2 linked regions of the Mytilus edulis genome follow. The protein of the gene in region 1 interacts with the protein of each later gene in a biochemical or structural test. Links are inferred from orthologs where the notes say so. Each region holds a gene or a part of one and is shown on either strand. Other genes may lie near its edges.

Evidence for each region.
Region 2: the proteins of E3 ubiquitin-protein ligase RNF4-like (region 1) and ubiquitin-conjugating enzyme E2 W-like form a complex in vitro, tested with the Homo sapiens proteins (2 studies listed by BioGRID). The link is inferred for Mytilus edulis from reciprocal best matches to the Homo sapiens genes RNF4 and UBE2W.

Annotation. Positions count from the first base shown.
Region 1 is NC_092347.1:57,598,488-57,606,240, forward strand, and holds the start of E3 ubiquitin-protein ligase RNF4-like, read right to left. Parts: upstream 3,046-7,753; 5' UTR 2,998-3,045; coding exon 2,935-2,997; intron 464-2,934; coding exon 307-463; intron 1-306. Other genes in the region: phosphatidylinositide phosphatase SAC2-like, read left to right, coding at 3,114-3,213, 7,299-7,379. UniProt on the Homo sapiens protein: E3 ubiquitin-protein ligase which binds polysumoylated chains covalently attached to proteins and mediates 'Lys-6'-, 'Lys-11'-, 'Lys-48'- and 'Lys-63'-linked polyubiquitination of those substrates and their subsequent targeting to the proteasome for degradation.
Region 2 is NC_092344.1:109,518,618-109,526,253, forward strand, and holds the start of ubiquitin-conjugating enzyme E2 W-like, read right to left. Parts: upstream 3,038-7,636; 5' UTR 3,007-3,037; coding exon 2,992-3,006; intron 1-2,991. Other genes in the region: putative inositol monophosphatase 3, read left to right, coding at 3,229-3,555, 4,764-4,929. UniProt on the Homo sapiens protein: Accepts ubiquitin from the E1 complex and catalyzes its covalent attachment to other proteins.

The DNA of each region.
Region 1 (7,753 bases):
ACTTTTACTAAAGTTAGAGTGCGAAAACTGAAAGTATTCGGACAACGACGACGACGACGACGCCAACGTGATAGCAATATACGACCAAAAAATTAAAATTTTTGCGGTCGTATAAAAATTTAATTGCATTTCTTCACTTAGACTTCACTTGGAAGTTGCCTATTCTCCTAAGCTATATCGTATATTAATATGCATTTCTAATTTCTCTTTTGAGGCTTCATCACTGTTGAGGATGGAACTGGATTGTTGAATTTAATTCATGTCTGTATTTTATTCAACATGTTAAAGAGAAGCAAATATTTATACCTTCAACATCAACTACTTCCTGATTTCTTTCCCTTAGAGGATTATTTCTTCTTCTTGCTCTTTGTGTTTGAACAACTATTGGTAACCTTTGACCTGACGAACTTCTAGATGTCAAACGTCTGTGTCTCCTGTGATCAGATCTCTGCATTCTAGGAAGCTGTCAATTCAAATAAAATACATTACATTATTATTAAGAAAAGATGCCCAAAGGGCACTTCTAGAATTAGATTCTAATATCATACCAACAGTACCACATTATTATGACTTGCCTTAGTGGGCTTGCTTGATATTCTTGCTGATAAAGTTAGTATCAAAAACAAAAATGCTTTTATTCTGTATACATTGTAACATGTTGCAAGATGATAAAATATATAACTGCCATGATATTAATAATAAACTGCTTAGCTGAATGCAGCTGGATACGCCTCCAGAGGTCCAACCCTGAACAGTTTAATTTGGGCAAAAAAGACACAATATTCAAGCTTGATACAGGTCTGAATTTTGATTGTAAGTACATGTAACTATTTGACATATTAATAAATGAAGTCAAAGAACTCAAATTGGTTTAAGGTTATAAATAAATAAATTGAATTTGTATCCAATTAGATTTTTTGTGGTTGCGCAATACACTGTGCTGTTGCGCAATACTTAGTAAATCAGTTCTACATCAGACTATATAATATCGTGACCAAGTCCCCTATTACAGTAGAAAATTCAATAATAAATATTTTTTTTTTTAAATCGGGAAAATTTCCCGAATTTTTTTTGTCGCGTTTATGAATTTCCAGTCTGCGCAGAAATCTACTTCCGTTTCCGGTCTTGTGACATGAGACTTTGAATAAAATGTATATTTATCAGTCTAAGAAAGTAACTAATACTAATTCATTTTAAAACAAATGTTTGTTATTAAAAAAAAGTTATCTGATGACAGCGTTTCTTTGATTACATTGAATATGACGTCATAACTTAAATAAATGTCACAACTAAAATCCCTAACAACAGAACCAAAATCGGAAACATTACGGTATCTCCGTTTCTCTTTTTAACATTGTTGATTTAAAAAAAAAAATCATAGACTTTGTCCCCATTCACAGGTAATGCCTGCCTCATATTATAAACAAACAAAGTTTCATGAAAATTGGTAAAAGCATTTCTTGAGTTATTGTCAGAAAATTGGACATTGATGGAAAATCCCTCCTTTTTCAATAAATAAAACCCCAAAAGTCGGAAACCAACAGTTAATCTGAAATTGATAAAATGAAAGCTTTTTTAAGGGAGCTCACGTCAAAAGATATAAACAAAGTTTCTTGAATATCTGTTAAAGCATTTTGGAGGTATAAATGTATGATATGTTGACGACGGACAAGCAGACGCAGTGTTCTAGGATTCCCATTACCCGTTACCCGGGGTAAGTGGATTAGGACAACGGGTAAGTCATTTTTTAGCCTTTGTCACCCGGTGGTAAGTCAATTTTCAAGTTCGGGGAAGCCGAAAAACTCTTGAAATTTCCCGGTCCTCTTCAATTTTCCCATATCTGCTTTTTATTTTTATTAAATCACGAGAAAAAACTTTGATAAAAGATCGAAGATTTTGTCGATGTCTATCGGCGCTTTTATTCAAGCACTCGTTTACTAGGTGTAATCAAGCGCAAAAGAGACCACATTCTTCTCCTATCATTCTAAAAGTCGGTCACGGTGTCGGTAAAAATCGGAAAATCCGGATTGATAACTGGTGCTTAAATCGGGACATAAACAATTTTTTTTCTTGTCATCGGAGGAAAATAAACTTACAGTTGCATTTATTATAGCTCTGAATAAATGACATAGTAATAACTATAACATATTTGTCAAATTTAGTAAGAAATCGTTTTTTTTGCGCCGTCCGCATTGGTTGGCGGATTTAACTTTTAGATGTGGGTAAGTAATTTTTTTATTGATCTTACCCGTGGTAAGTCAAGGTGCCAAAAAAATCCTAGAACACTGAGACGGTTAGCAGCATTCATTAATACTTCCTGTAAAAGGGGGCATAAAAAGAATAGACCACTTTCGAGTTCATCCGTCACCGGAAAAAACTCGTCAATTATACGCGCCTTTATGACATTTACCAGATAGAGGGGGTCGCCTGTATCCCTGCACTATTTACATGCATCAAGCGTCCTAGTGATCGTCATTATGGAGGATAAACTAGAAATAATGGTTGTTCTGTAGGTACTTAATGACAATTCCCTAATGACAGCAATGCTGATTGTCAATTTTGAGAATTCAATTTGCCGAATAATTCGTACAATATAGAATTATAGTTTTCCAACCACTCGCTCAACATTTGAATGGAAGTTACGACGCCCCTAAACGCACAAATGACGTTCACTAAAACCAGAGTTTTTGACGGAAAAGCATCGAACTCGAAAGTTGTCTATTGATACAAAATGAGAAAAAGAAAATTAGTCTGTATTTTTCACTTTCAGTTTCTTTTGACACACACCATATTTGTTTTTAAACCTCTATAGCTAGAAGAACGTCAATTCAACAATCATCAAAAAGTTAAATTTTGTAAAAAAAAATCGTGTAAACTACTTCATATATCAAAGTAAGCAATATATTTATAATGTTATCATCCATACAGACTTACACTCATATTTCTGATTTTACCGGAAGTGTTGCTCTCAAAGCTGAAGGTAAATAAAGTGTTCATTTCCTGCAACTGACATTTAGCTCGATTTTCTATCTCGTATATTATTTTTTGCCCCAAAAGTGAAAAATGAAATGAAACTTGTGGAGATAAGGTTCCTGTGATAAAGAATTGATAAAATGATACAAGTTTTTCACACTGAGGACCATTATATCTTACAGGATGGCGATTTTACGCTGTGGTGTAGTAGAACTACAGGAGATCTTGAACCAAAAAAAGGTGATTTCTAATGTTTATCCATATATGTTTATGATAAAAACATCCCAACTAGATGTGTCAATCCGACACGAATGGCCCCGTCTCAAAAAGTTGAAAGTCTGCAATTTCAATAACACATGTGCCTTTGTGGACACAAACATGATGGTAGTCTCACATATCAAAAATCAGCTAAAAAACTGGAGGCGTATAGAAAAAAAGTCTGTATGACTGTGATTTTCAACAATTTATAAAATTCCAAAGCCAGTTATTTTGGGCAAAAATTAGCCGAGCGGAACAAAAATTATGATTCTTCGAAAAGAATGACCTATCATTCTGAAAAATATAACTCCATACAGGTATTATACATTAGTACCACTGTACAGTAATTACATGTACTATGTGAGTTCGTGGTCTAGTGGTTATGACCGATGGCTACAGTGCTGAAAATATCAGCACATCAGAAGGGTAATTTTCACCCTCTCACACACATCTCTGGTACCCAGACTGGAGTTTAAACTAGAATGGGTACTTTGGGGGCCTCGGTTGGTCAAAGTTGTCCCTTACTTTGACCTGGAGATCAATCTTCTGATATCTCTCTGGTTTGTCTATTTCCACCGAGTGGCCCGGTGGTTCTCTCCGAGTACTTCGGCTTCCTCCACTATAATAACAGACTGCCCGGTGTCCTAGCACTCCCTTTGTGTTGGGTGGGGATTGATTGTCCTTGTAAAAATAATTGTCGTATAAACATACGTTAGTGACACATCTCCATTAATCCCGTTAGGGAGTGTACATGGATGCCACTGTACCCTTGCAGCTTTTGAGGGGTTCTTCGGATATCGGAGGCATTTACCAGTACATACATACATGGTGTTTACATGACATTTTTATACCCCTGCTATTAAAAAAAGGGGGGTATACTGTAACCCCTGCTTTAAAAAAAAGGGGTGTATACTGTTTTACCTCTGTCTGTCCATCCATCCATCCATCCATCCGTCAGTCCGTTCTTCCGTCAGTCCATCAATCCGTCAGTCCGTCCGTCCCATGAATATTTTTCGTCACATTATTCTCAGGAACTACAATGTATATACACTACCAGGATTTCTGAAATTTGGTTTCAGAGTTTATATATTTCAGCTATACTGTGTGATGCATTTTCAGATTCATCACACAACAACGTCCTGTTTGCCGAACACTTGTATCATTTTACACATGATAGCCAAGTTGAAAATTTTCGTTACATTTTTCTCAGGAACTATACTAAAAGGATTTCTAAAATTTGGTTTCAGGCTTGATATACAATGTAAGTCCTCTATACCGTGTGATTGCTTTTTTAGATTCATCACTTAACAACTTCCTGTTTACCGAACAAGTATCATTTTACACCTGATAGCCAAGTTGAAATTTTTCGTCACATTTTTCTCAAGAACTATACTAAAAGGATTTCTAAAATTTGGTTTCAGGCTTGATATAAGTCTGCTATACCATGTATACCATGTGATTCATTTTCAGATTCATCACTCGACAACTTCCTGTTTACCGAACACCATTATTAATATTATCCACTTGCGGCGGGGGTATCATCAGTGAGCATTAGCTTGCAGTTTCACCATGTTCACTTGTTTTCACTTTTTTTTTTTTGAAATGAAAATGTTGAGACAATATTGGAGAAAACAGTATTCATTTGATTTTAAAGTTAAAAGATTTAAAAAAAATACTCATAGTTGATCATGATTATCTAACTTGATTGAGTATCTATCTTTCAAGCTACACTGTATATACAATGCTAATAGCTGATAATTATTATCTACCTTGATTGAGTATCTATCTTTCACTCTAGACCATGTAGACAATGCGAATAGTTGATAATGATAATCTACCTTGATTGAGTATCTATCTTTCCCTCTAGACAATGCGAATAGTTGATAATGATTATCTACCTTGATTGAGTACATTTTGTATCTATCTTTCACACTAGACAATGCTAATAGTTTATAATGATTATCTACCTTGATTGAGTATCTGTCTTTCACTATAAACAATGCTAAAAGTTGATAATGATTATCTACCATGATTGAGTATCTATCTTTCATGCTAGACAATGTTAAAAGTTGATAATGATTATCTACCATGATTGAGTATCTATCTTTCACGCTAGACAATGCTAATAGTTGATAATGATTATCTACTTTGATTGAGTATCTATCTTTATATGCTTAGCATGATTAGCATTGTCTAAGACAATGCTATAATCATGCTAATTATAGTTGATAATGATTGGATTAACCAGGGTGCTGATTATCAAAAAAATATTTTAAATCATGTTTGAGCAAATGGAAAATGTGAATATTTCTTTTTGCACAACAGTTCATTTTGGGGTTCTCTTCCTGTCCATGTTTAATTATATTATCTGCATCGATTTCTTTGAAAAATCAGCGACAAGTAGTTGGATTTGAATAACTGAACCTAAATATATGGTGCTGGGTAAAAATTACTAAATAAGAACAATATACATGTATGTACATTGTTCGAAATAAAATGTATTCCAGATGTGCAATAGAGCTACTATATATATAGCTAATTAGTACATAAATGGACTTCATTCACATCTGACGAATCATGATAAGGACATTTTACCTGCACTCCTATTTCATTCTATATGAATAAATCAGAAAGAAACACTTACAAAGAATCAATGTTTAAGATAGTATTTTGTTATTATCGTCTTGCTTTTAAACAATTTAATAATAGCTGTTCTGCCTTAATTATGATGTACCAAACAGCAGTCAGACTAATAAACTGGTTCATCATTGACCTTTTAGACCATTAATGTTTAACTAGTTATATATACAAATTATGATAAGAAGTTAATCTGTTCCCAAGAAAGTATCTATTATCGAACATGTCGAATAATATTGATTCCTTGATCATCAGTCATTAAAAATTGTTGCTTTTTTCACAAAATTATTTATTTCATGTTTTTGATTTGGAAAAAAAAAAATATGTTTGAACTTGTTAAATGGCTATTTACATTAAAATAAAAACCCTACATGCTTTAGTCTTTCTGTAAATTAATCTTAATGTGTACCGTAGCTCCAATCCAGCAGATGAATTTTAAAAAAGAATATCAGTTTGACACATTATTCTAGGGAGTAATCATTTAACTTCAAATGGGGACGGGGGGGGGGGGGGGGGGGGGGGGGGTGTTCTGGTTTTATGTCAGAATCTCAACAACATTTTTTGGTCAAAGTGCGAACCTTTTTTTTTTAGTTTTTCACACATGCAATCAATTATTTTTTTTCAGAATACAAATGTATAATACTATTCAGTATGGGAAATTTGGTCATCATCTGGACCTAAATATTTTTCTTTCATCAAATTAGTGATCAGAATATTTTTTAAGGAAACAACCATCCCCACCTATCTCCCCCCCTCCCCCTTGAATTGAAATGGTGGTGTCCTTAACCCAATTGATCTGACCTTTTGCATATAACTCAAAAATGATTGTTTACAATGCTAAGGCCTATAGTTCCTCACATTATTTGTTAAGGAAAAAAATGAATGTCAAGTGATTAACCTTAATAATTGATTAGGATGTAGGCTCTATTAAGCTGCCTCATACTATAAATTCAATAGTCAGTGTCATGAAAAAATAAGTTGCAATATTTAGATGATACAATTAATCAATTGAAAATAATATTAGGTTATCTAACATATCTTTAAGAAACCAGTGTGGTTACTTCTAAATATTAAGCTGACAGATAATTGAATCGTCTAGTAGTATCATACATTTCTGACCTTTTTTATGATGGTGCATATTGATTTCTATGGCATTGACCTTTCACATCAGTTCAGTTTCAAAACAAAAACAAAATTACATTTCATTTTCAAATGTCAGAACTTATATTTTGTGATTTATTGTAAATGTAGGATGTAGTGAAGGAAACAAACAATCAAACAAACCAATATTTTATTTGCCAATCCTGGCGTATGCAGACAAAACATTGTGTCTCACAGACATATCATCTTACACATGTTTTTAAAAGACAGCAATCCAACAACAATCTTTCCCATGTATGATATATTTGTATGATATTTTATTCTTATAGGTATAGACTTATGTTCAGCATGGAATCCTGTTTGTATTGGAATGGTCTATGGGGTTATTGGAAAGGTCAAAGTTCACCCAGGTAAGATGAATTCAGTGGAAGATCCAGAAATTTTCATAAGGGGGTGCCCACTGACTGCCTAAGAGAGTGCCCGCTCCTATCATGCTTCAGTGATTCTCTACATAATCAGCCAAATTTTTCCACACATCCAGGAAAACCCTCTAAATCTGCCCCTGGAACAAGGCAATACAAACTGGTGAACTAGGATCTTAGGATGGCATCACATGCTCATTATAGAATAATTATACATTTATATTAATAAATAGATATGGAAGATGTGGTATGAGTGCCAATGAGACAACTCTCCATCCAAATAACAATTTATAAAAGTAAACCATTATAGGTCAAGGTACGGCCTTCAACACAGAGTATTGGCTCACACAGAACAACAAGCT
Region 2 (7,636 bases), on another chromosome or scaffold:
AGATGGTACACTGTGATTGTCATCAAATAAAGTTTTAAATCTTCTGATGTTTTTTTCTTAACCTTTCTGTCTCAGCATTTTAACAAACTCTGTACTTTCTTCTATGTTTTCTTTCAGCTCTCTCTTTCCAAGATTCATGTAGTATATTTTAGTGAATTTTATATTGACATTAATGCTGTTATAGCTTCTGTATCATCAGCATTGGTATTTCTTCTTCAGATGTGATTTATGCAACCCCTCCCCCTTACTATATTGGTATTTAGGTATTCAGTCTCTGTGGACTTTCTCTAACGCTTACTAGATTACAAGCTATTTCAGATAGCATTTGTATAGCTCTCTAACTGTCAGAATGCTGGTCTAGTATTTGTACCAGTAGATATACATGTATCTGCTACTAATTGTATTGTCCATGGTTCTGAATCAATTGCTTCAACCCTTAACATTTATGTAGACAAACTAGTTAATTGGATTATAACAAGGTTCCCCTATAAAGCAACTTTTTATAATTAATGAATTATATTGATATCTTTTGTTGTGAAAGATTAATAAGAAAATAAAGACAAACAAATGCATATGATCTTAGTACACTAAAAATGTATACATGTATTAAAATATCTGTCAAAATATGTGATGGCATACATGTAAATGCTGAATTTACAGTGTTAGAGTCTAATAATTTGCTTGAATTTATTAAAGTATTGCTCAGATAATAATAAGCTTTTATTTTATTTTATCTATATTAAATAAAATAAAATATAGAAATATGATAAAATTATTAGCAATTGTTTAAATAATAATGATGATATGAGTTAATTTCAATAATCCTTTGTTTATTTGTGCAAGTACAGTATAGTAATGACTTTTAACTGGTTGTTAATTGATTTCACAATTATCCTCTATAATCTTTTTGAGTTCCATTTAATCTCCCTTTGATCTTCAATATAGTCTAATCAACAATACAACTACAATACTGGTATATCAGTAATGTACCAGTATTGCTGTTTTTTTAATAAAAAGTAACAATACTGGTACAAAATTTTTATACCAGTATTATGGACAATACTGGTATACCAGTATTGCGATCACCAACTACAGGAGATCCCAAATATTAGTGAAAGTCTCTAATGTAACTGTTATTAGTATTTAAGAAGGACACTAAATAAAAATGTCTATGAATATTTTTTTTATCTGTTTATCATTTCCATATTGCATTTTCGGAAGTAATTTTTTTGTTACTATACACGACTTCAACAAACTTTGTGTCATGTTTGTTGTAGAAGTAATTTCATACTTAAACATATGAGTCAAACCACAAGTTTCATAATGCACATCACATTATTAATATGAGACAATATCTGAAAAAGTCTAATTTTTGGAAATAAGAAAAAACCAAAAAAATTTTTTTAGACCCAGTATTTTAATAGCACAAATTGAAGAACACACATTGGGGATCTAGGAACTGTTGTCTGTAATTCAAAAAATTGTTTTATAAGGAAACAATGGCTATTTCAAAAATGGTACAAAACAAATCCAGTTCTTTCCTGTTACCAAAGTGAATCAATTTTAAAAAGTTTCTAATGGGAATAATGAATAAGTTTAAGACAATATTTGTGGTTTACTAGTATATCCTGCAAGAGTTTATCAAATGCCAATTATTTATTTTAGCATTTGCAATACAAAAGGTTTAGAAATATACTTAAATATAGTCAGATATGTCGGTAACATGAAAGAATCTTGAGTAACAGCACAACGGTAACAGGACAGAGTTGTTAACAGAAAGGATTTTTCTGCTTTATTTTAAAGTTTAAGAAAAATACATCATTTTAAATTGGTCACAATTGGAAGATAACAGCAAACAATGTGATTTATCCTTTGAAACTGTATTTGCAAGATGAAAAATCTGCCTAGGTAAGGAAAAATTCTAAAATAAATTCCTTTCTGTTACTATTTACTAAACTAGAATTGCACAATGTTCTCTGCTGTTATCAAAAGCAAAAAACCTATTTTTTTATTAAATATACTGTATATTATTTAGAAATTTATTTAATATGGTGGTGATAACTTATATTAAATAAAATGGTTAGCATATAGTAGATTAACTTTTCGATTGTCAGTGAAATTGTCTTGAACATCCTTCCTGTTACTGATGATGGTTATGCTGTTACTTTTTATCAGGTAACATGACAGAACGTAACAGAAAGGAATTACGCGATAGTTTTTGTCCTTTTTATCACATTAAATGTAAGTGTATTTCCTGTGACATATAACTTTTAAAAAGATGATATAAAAACACACTTAATGCTGTGGTGCACACTTAAAAATATTCTCAGTAAGTGTAAGAAAAGGCTGTAACAGGATAGAACACCAATAAGTATTTTTCTATAAATTCTTACCTTGGATGGGCTTGAATTTTCAAACCTGGCCGCCTTTCCAACTATTTCTTTGTACTAATGCATTCAGGAAATGATGCTCTGCACAATACATAATGGGAAAATAACTCTTGGTCTTGTAAATGTTTCCACAGGTAAAAAAAACCCAGTGGTAACAGGAGGGAAATCAGCCCTGGGGACAAATTTTTTTTCTCTTAAAATTTGCAAAATTTTATTACATGCTATAGTTATAATATAAAAAGACAAATTAGGGGCAAGTTTATTATATAATATATCATATATGTGAGAATCGGACGCCTGTTTAATTAATTTGGATATTATTTGAATGATTTAGTTTTCAAAAAAACACAGGGGACAACATGATTTTAGGGGGGTTGAACATTTAAATTACAATATTTTATTGGAAGAAATATAAGAATGAGTGTTTAATTGGCAGGCCATGGTGCATTATATAATTTAGTTTATACTGAAACTTAAAATTTTCAAAAAAGATGGTTGAATAAAAAAATAATTGCTGGTGAAGTGCGGGACATGGAAATTAGACTTTTTCAGATATTGTCTCATATATCGAATAAAAGACTGAAATGTAAAAGTGGAATACCTCCATAGAAGCCATGATCGTCTGTCTGTTTACCTTTAGTTTCGAATAAAAAGAAACTAAAAATTTATTGTTTTATCGTGTTTCATATATAAAAAGTATAAAGTATTAGAAATAAAAATTAGATTTCTTAATTTTGTGGATCGTGCATTTCTTTCCATAGGTTTAAAATATTATTCGAAACTAAGTCTTTACATCAAGCTTCTACTTATTTTTCCAGCTCGACATCTATGATCTACAATGGGACCTGCAAATGTAAGAATCAACCCTGTTGGTGGAGCTGTATTTATAGCTCTTGGTGTATGTGCAGCTTTGTACATGTTTGGTCTTCCCGACTGGTTCCATAGAGAGCCCAGAGTTAGCATGAAAGAACTGTTATCAGTGTGTATACAGCTTGCACAAGAAGGGGGCAAAAGAGTAAAAGATGTAAGACTAGCTAGTAATGTACTTCAGGAAAATCTGAAAGGAAAGACAGATGAAGGTGTCAAAGATGTGAAGACTGAAGGAGATACACAGTCGCACAGGGCTATTGTATATGGATTGGCAAAAGCATTCCCTGGTCTAAAGGTAGTTATTATATAAGACCTAATGATAGTTTTCTTAAATGCTAGTCTATTAGTTCTGGTTTGTTTCGTACCTACAATAAGGCAGTTTGGGGAAACAGTTTTTAGACTTACATGTATCTGTCGTGTGACTTCCATCGCCACGTGACAAAAATGTATGCATCCTGACTTCCAACTCATGTTGAGCAAACGGATGAAAAAGTTTGATTTTATACTACACAAAATATTTGGGAAATTAAAATCTAATAAGATGGTCACCCTCCCTCATTTGTACAGGAATCGCACCTACCCGCACATTTGTTGTTCTCACATCGAACATGTACATAAAACAGTACGATAATACTCCCCTGGGAGGCCTGTACTATAAAGGAAGAAGAAGAAGAATCAAGATTATGTACTAATGGAACATAAATGATTTCTTTACTACCCTACAAAATGACGATAATGCTGGAAACTTTTAATAGGGCAGGGATACAGACACATCTTCTATCTGGTAAATGACGTCATAAAGGGGTGCGAAATTGGCGATCTTTTCCAGTGAAAAACATGATTCCAGAAATGACGTATGGTAGTGTTATTGACAGACCCTTTAAGCACTGTCTTAATATCAGTCTGAGAAAGGTCCCAGATATCTATCTTTGGTTCTTTAATTTTTCGGTCCAAAAATGGTATGTCAGTAAAATTTTATGATATATACATTGTAGGTCAGCCTACTATTTTCAGTTTTCTAGTGTATAATATTTCTTTACTACTTTTATTGCTCTACCACATTCATACTGAATTTTGTTCAATGCTTTATAAATCATACATGTAGGTACTATTTTGCAATCAGATATATTTGCAAGGTTTTTGGATAATGTCACATGTTCAGTCCCCCAGGTATTTTACAATTTTACTGTGCCTTTTCACAGCCTTTGTATATCTCTCAGCACCAAAGCATGCTGTAATGAGAACTCACTGTTTGAGCTATGATTTCTGAGGGTGAACCCTTTGCTGTCTCAGACTCTTTATATTGGTGTGCAATATTTTTCTTTATTACAATGTACCCGGTTTGTTAGGTTGGTCTGTTATATATATACATGTATTGTTTTAACCTTGTAGTACTCATTATTGTTGATATTGATAAGATTATCGTTGATCCAAAATGTGTTCATGATGTTTAGCTTAAGTGTCAAATGCCTTATTTCATAAACTTGGTATATTTCTCTTTAGGTTATATCTGAAGAAAAAGATCTAAAACCTGTGAATTTACTGGAAATAAAAGACACAAATAAGCATTTAACAGAAGTTGCAGAAACAATATCAAGTGACCAATCAATATCAAACTCAAAGATTACAGTGTGGGTCGACCCTCTTGATGCTACAAAGGAATACACAGGTATAACAATATTTTGTCCAATTAAAGGGCCCTGTAAAGAGCTATTATCACATTACATACAAATACATAAGATAAGAGACATATAAGAAAACAACACCTTTCAACAATATTATTATTTTTATGCTTAGTGCTATATTAAAGTCCAGGACAGAACATATATACCTATGTATGCAAGTATACGTAGGAGTATACTTATGTTCTTTTTGGGTAAATACAGCAAACGCTTGAAAGTTTACAAATTTGATTTTTAAACAATAAACAAATATATAGCCATTTTGTGAGTTGTTGCATTAAGTGTTTATAAGGAAGTACACCACTAATTCATGGTCCCATTGCTTTCTATGTTAAATTCCTCCGTTTCAAGCAGGCACACCTCTTTTATTTTAAGTTCAAATAAAGTGGCAATCATTGCATTTCAAAGCAACACTTTATGGTGTCTTGTACTGAAAAAATCAACATACCTTACATTGCATATAAGAAAGAACTGGTTCCCGGAACTTCAGATGTACCAAAACAGGTACTTCAGATCTGACAAACAGACAAAATGTACCCTCTTTTTAAAATTTGGAGCAGTTTTTTTACTATTCAAAATTAAAAGTCCAAAAGTGTTCTACAATGATCACCAGTCCTTCAGCTTTCATTTGATACCAAAAATACCTAAATATTCTACATATTTTGAAAGTTACACTCATGCGTAGGAACTATTTTGTGTTAAATATGTACTACTTTCTGGTATGTGCTTTCTGGCCGGGCCTGAATTAGTGGTGTTACACCTATAACAGAACCAAACTTGCTATATTGACTTGAGCATTACTTTATTTCATTCTATGATCTATTTCAAGCAATAAAAAACATATAAAGCCTTAGTCCAAATACTATTTTATTAATTTAAAGCTCAAATTGGACTGGTAGTAACATATGGGTTATTCAAAGAAAACTGCATATGTATATTACCATTGGCCAATATATTTTTTTTATTCTCAATATCATTGTTTTATTTATTAATTTCTATTAGGAAAGCTATGTGCTTACTATTAGTCATATTTTTATCAGAGGTTCTTCATTAAATAACAATACATTAGTCCAAACTTAAGACATAAATGAGAAATTATCCCCCCTTTTTTCTTGAAATTGAAAAAAGGCTTTTTTTTTTGCATGAATTATAATTCTGTGGTAAAACATAGATTAATAAGAGCAATTTATATATCCCTCAGCTAGATAACTTGCTAAACTGGTCCAAAATTGCATGTACAGTGAGATTTAAGAATTCTTATATGAGTATATACCATTTGCCTAGATTGTAAAAGGCTACCATAAGAAAAACAAAAAAACTTGAAAAATCATGTGATTATTTTGACCAAGAGCTATTTTGTTCCATAAACAAGTCATAAAATACATGTTTTATTGATTTGAATCAGAAAAAATGCAAAAATGAGAACTTGGAGTCAAGTCTTAACTGCATGCATGTTGTATGACCATAAAAGGCTAACATATTTGAGTATGCCAATTTAAGAGCTTAAATTTCCCATAAGCAGGACGGTTGACCCAAAAAAGATGATTAGACATGATTACTAACATCATATTTGACTTATTTTCATTGGAATAGGTACAACTTCTAAAAATTGGATTTCTGGTGATTCTCTGTAATAGGAAGTACACCACTAATTCATGGTCCCATTGCTTTCTATGTTAAATTCCTCCGTTTCAAGCAGGCACACCTCTTTTATTTTAAGTTCAAATAAAGTGGCAATCATTGCATTTCAAAGCAACACTTTATGGTGTCTTGTACTGAAAAAATCAACATACCTTACATTGCATATAAGAAAGAACTGGTTCCCGGAACTTCAGATGTACCAAAACAGGTACTTCAGATCTGACAAACAGACAAAATGTACCCTCTTTTTAAAATTTGGAGCAGTTTTTTTACTATTCAAAATTAAAAGTCCAAAAGTGTTCTACAATGATCACCAGTCCTTCAGCTTTCATTTGATACCAAAAATACCTAAATATTCTACATATTTTGAAAGTTACACTCATGCGTAGGAACTATTTTGTGTTAAATATGTACTACTTTCTGGTATGTGCTTTCTGGCCGGGCCTGAATTAGTGGTGTTACACCATAAGGCCATTAACAATCAATCAAATTTTCAATATGCAAACTCTAATTTGAATTTTTATAATTGTTTCCATATATACTGATGTGCATCCACAATTATAATCTATTTTACCTGAAAATTTTAGTTTTATGTTTGTTAAAATATACAGCTTTTATTTGTTTATCTGAAATAGTTTATTCTTTAGGATTCAAAATCTGAATAGCAAGATAAATGTACATTAACAGTCTATACATATTTATAAAGGAACAATGACTTGATACATTGTTTGATATATACATGTACTTTGCAAATGCAAGCAATCACAATGTATAATCAAATAAGTTTCGATAGCAGATAGCAGAACTTTCGAGGTCAAGGGTTGAAGTCATAAAACTTTGCTCAGTGCTCGGAGCACACAAATCATGCTCGAAACATGAAATCCAACATTTTTATTGCTTGAGTTTTGAGTAAGAGTACAAAAAACTGACTTGAAAGTTTAATGACTTCAAGGCTCTCCTGACAGTTACAATTTCTCTGCTCTGTTAACTACACAATAACACTAAGTACTACATAATTTTACCAATCAAATCTTAATAATTTTGTTATTTGAA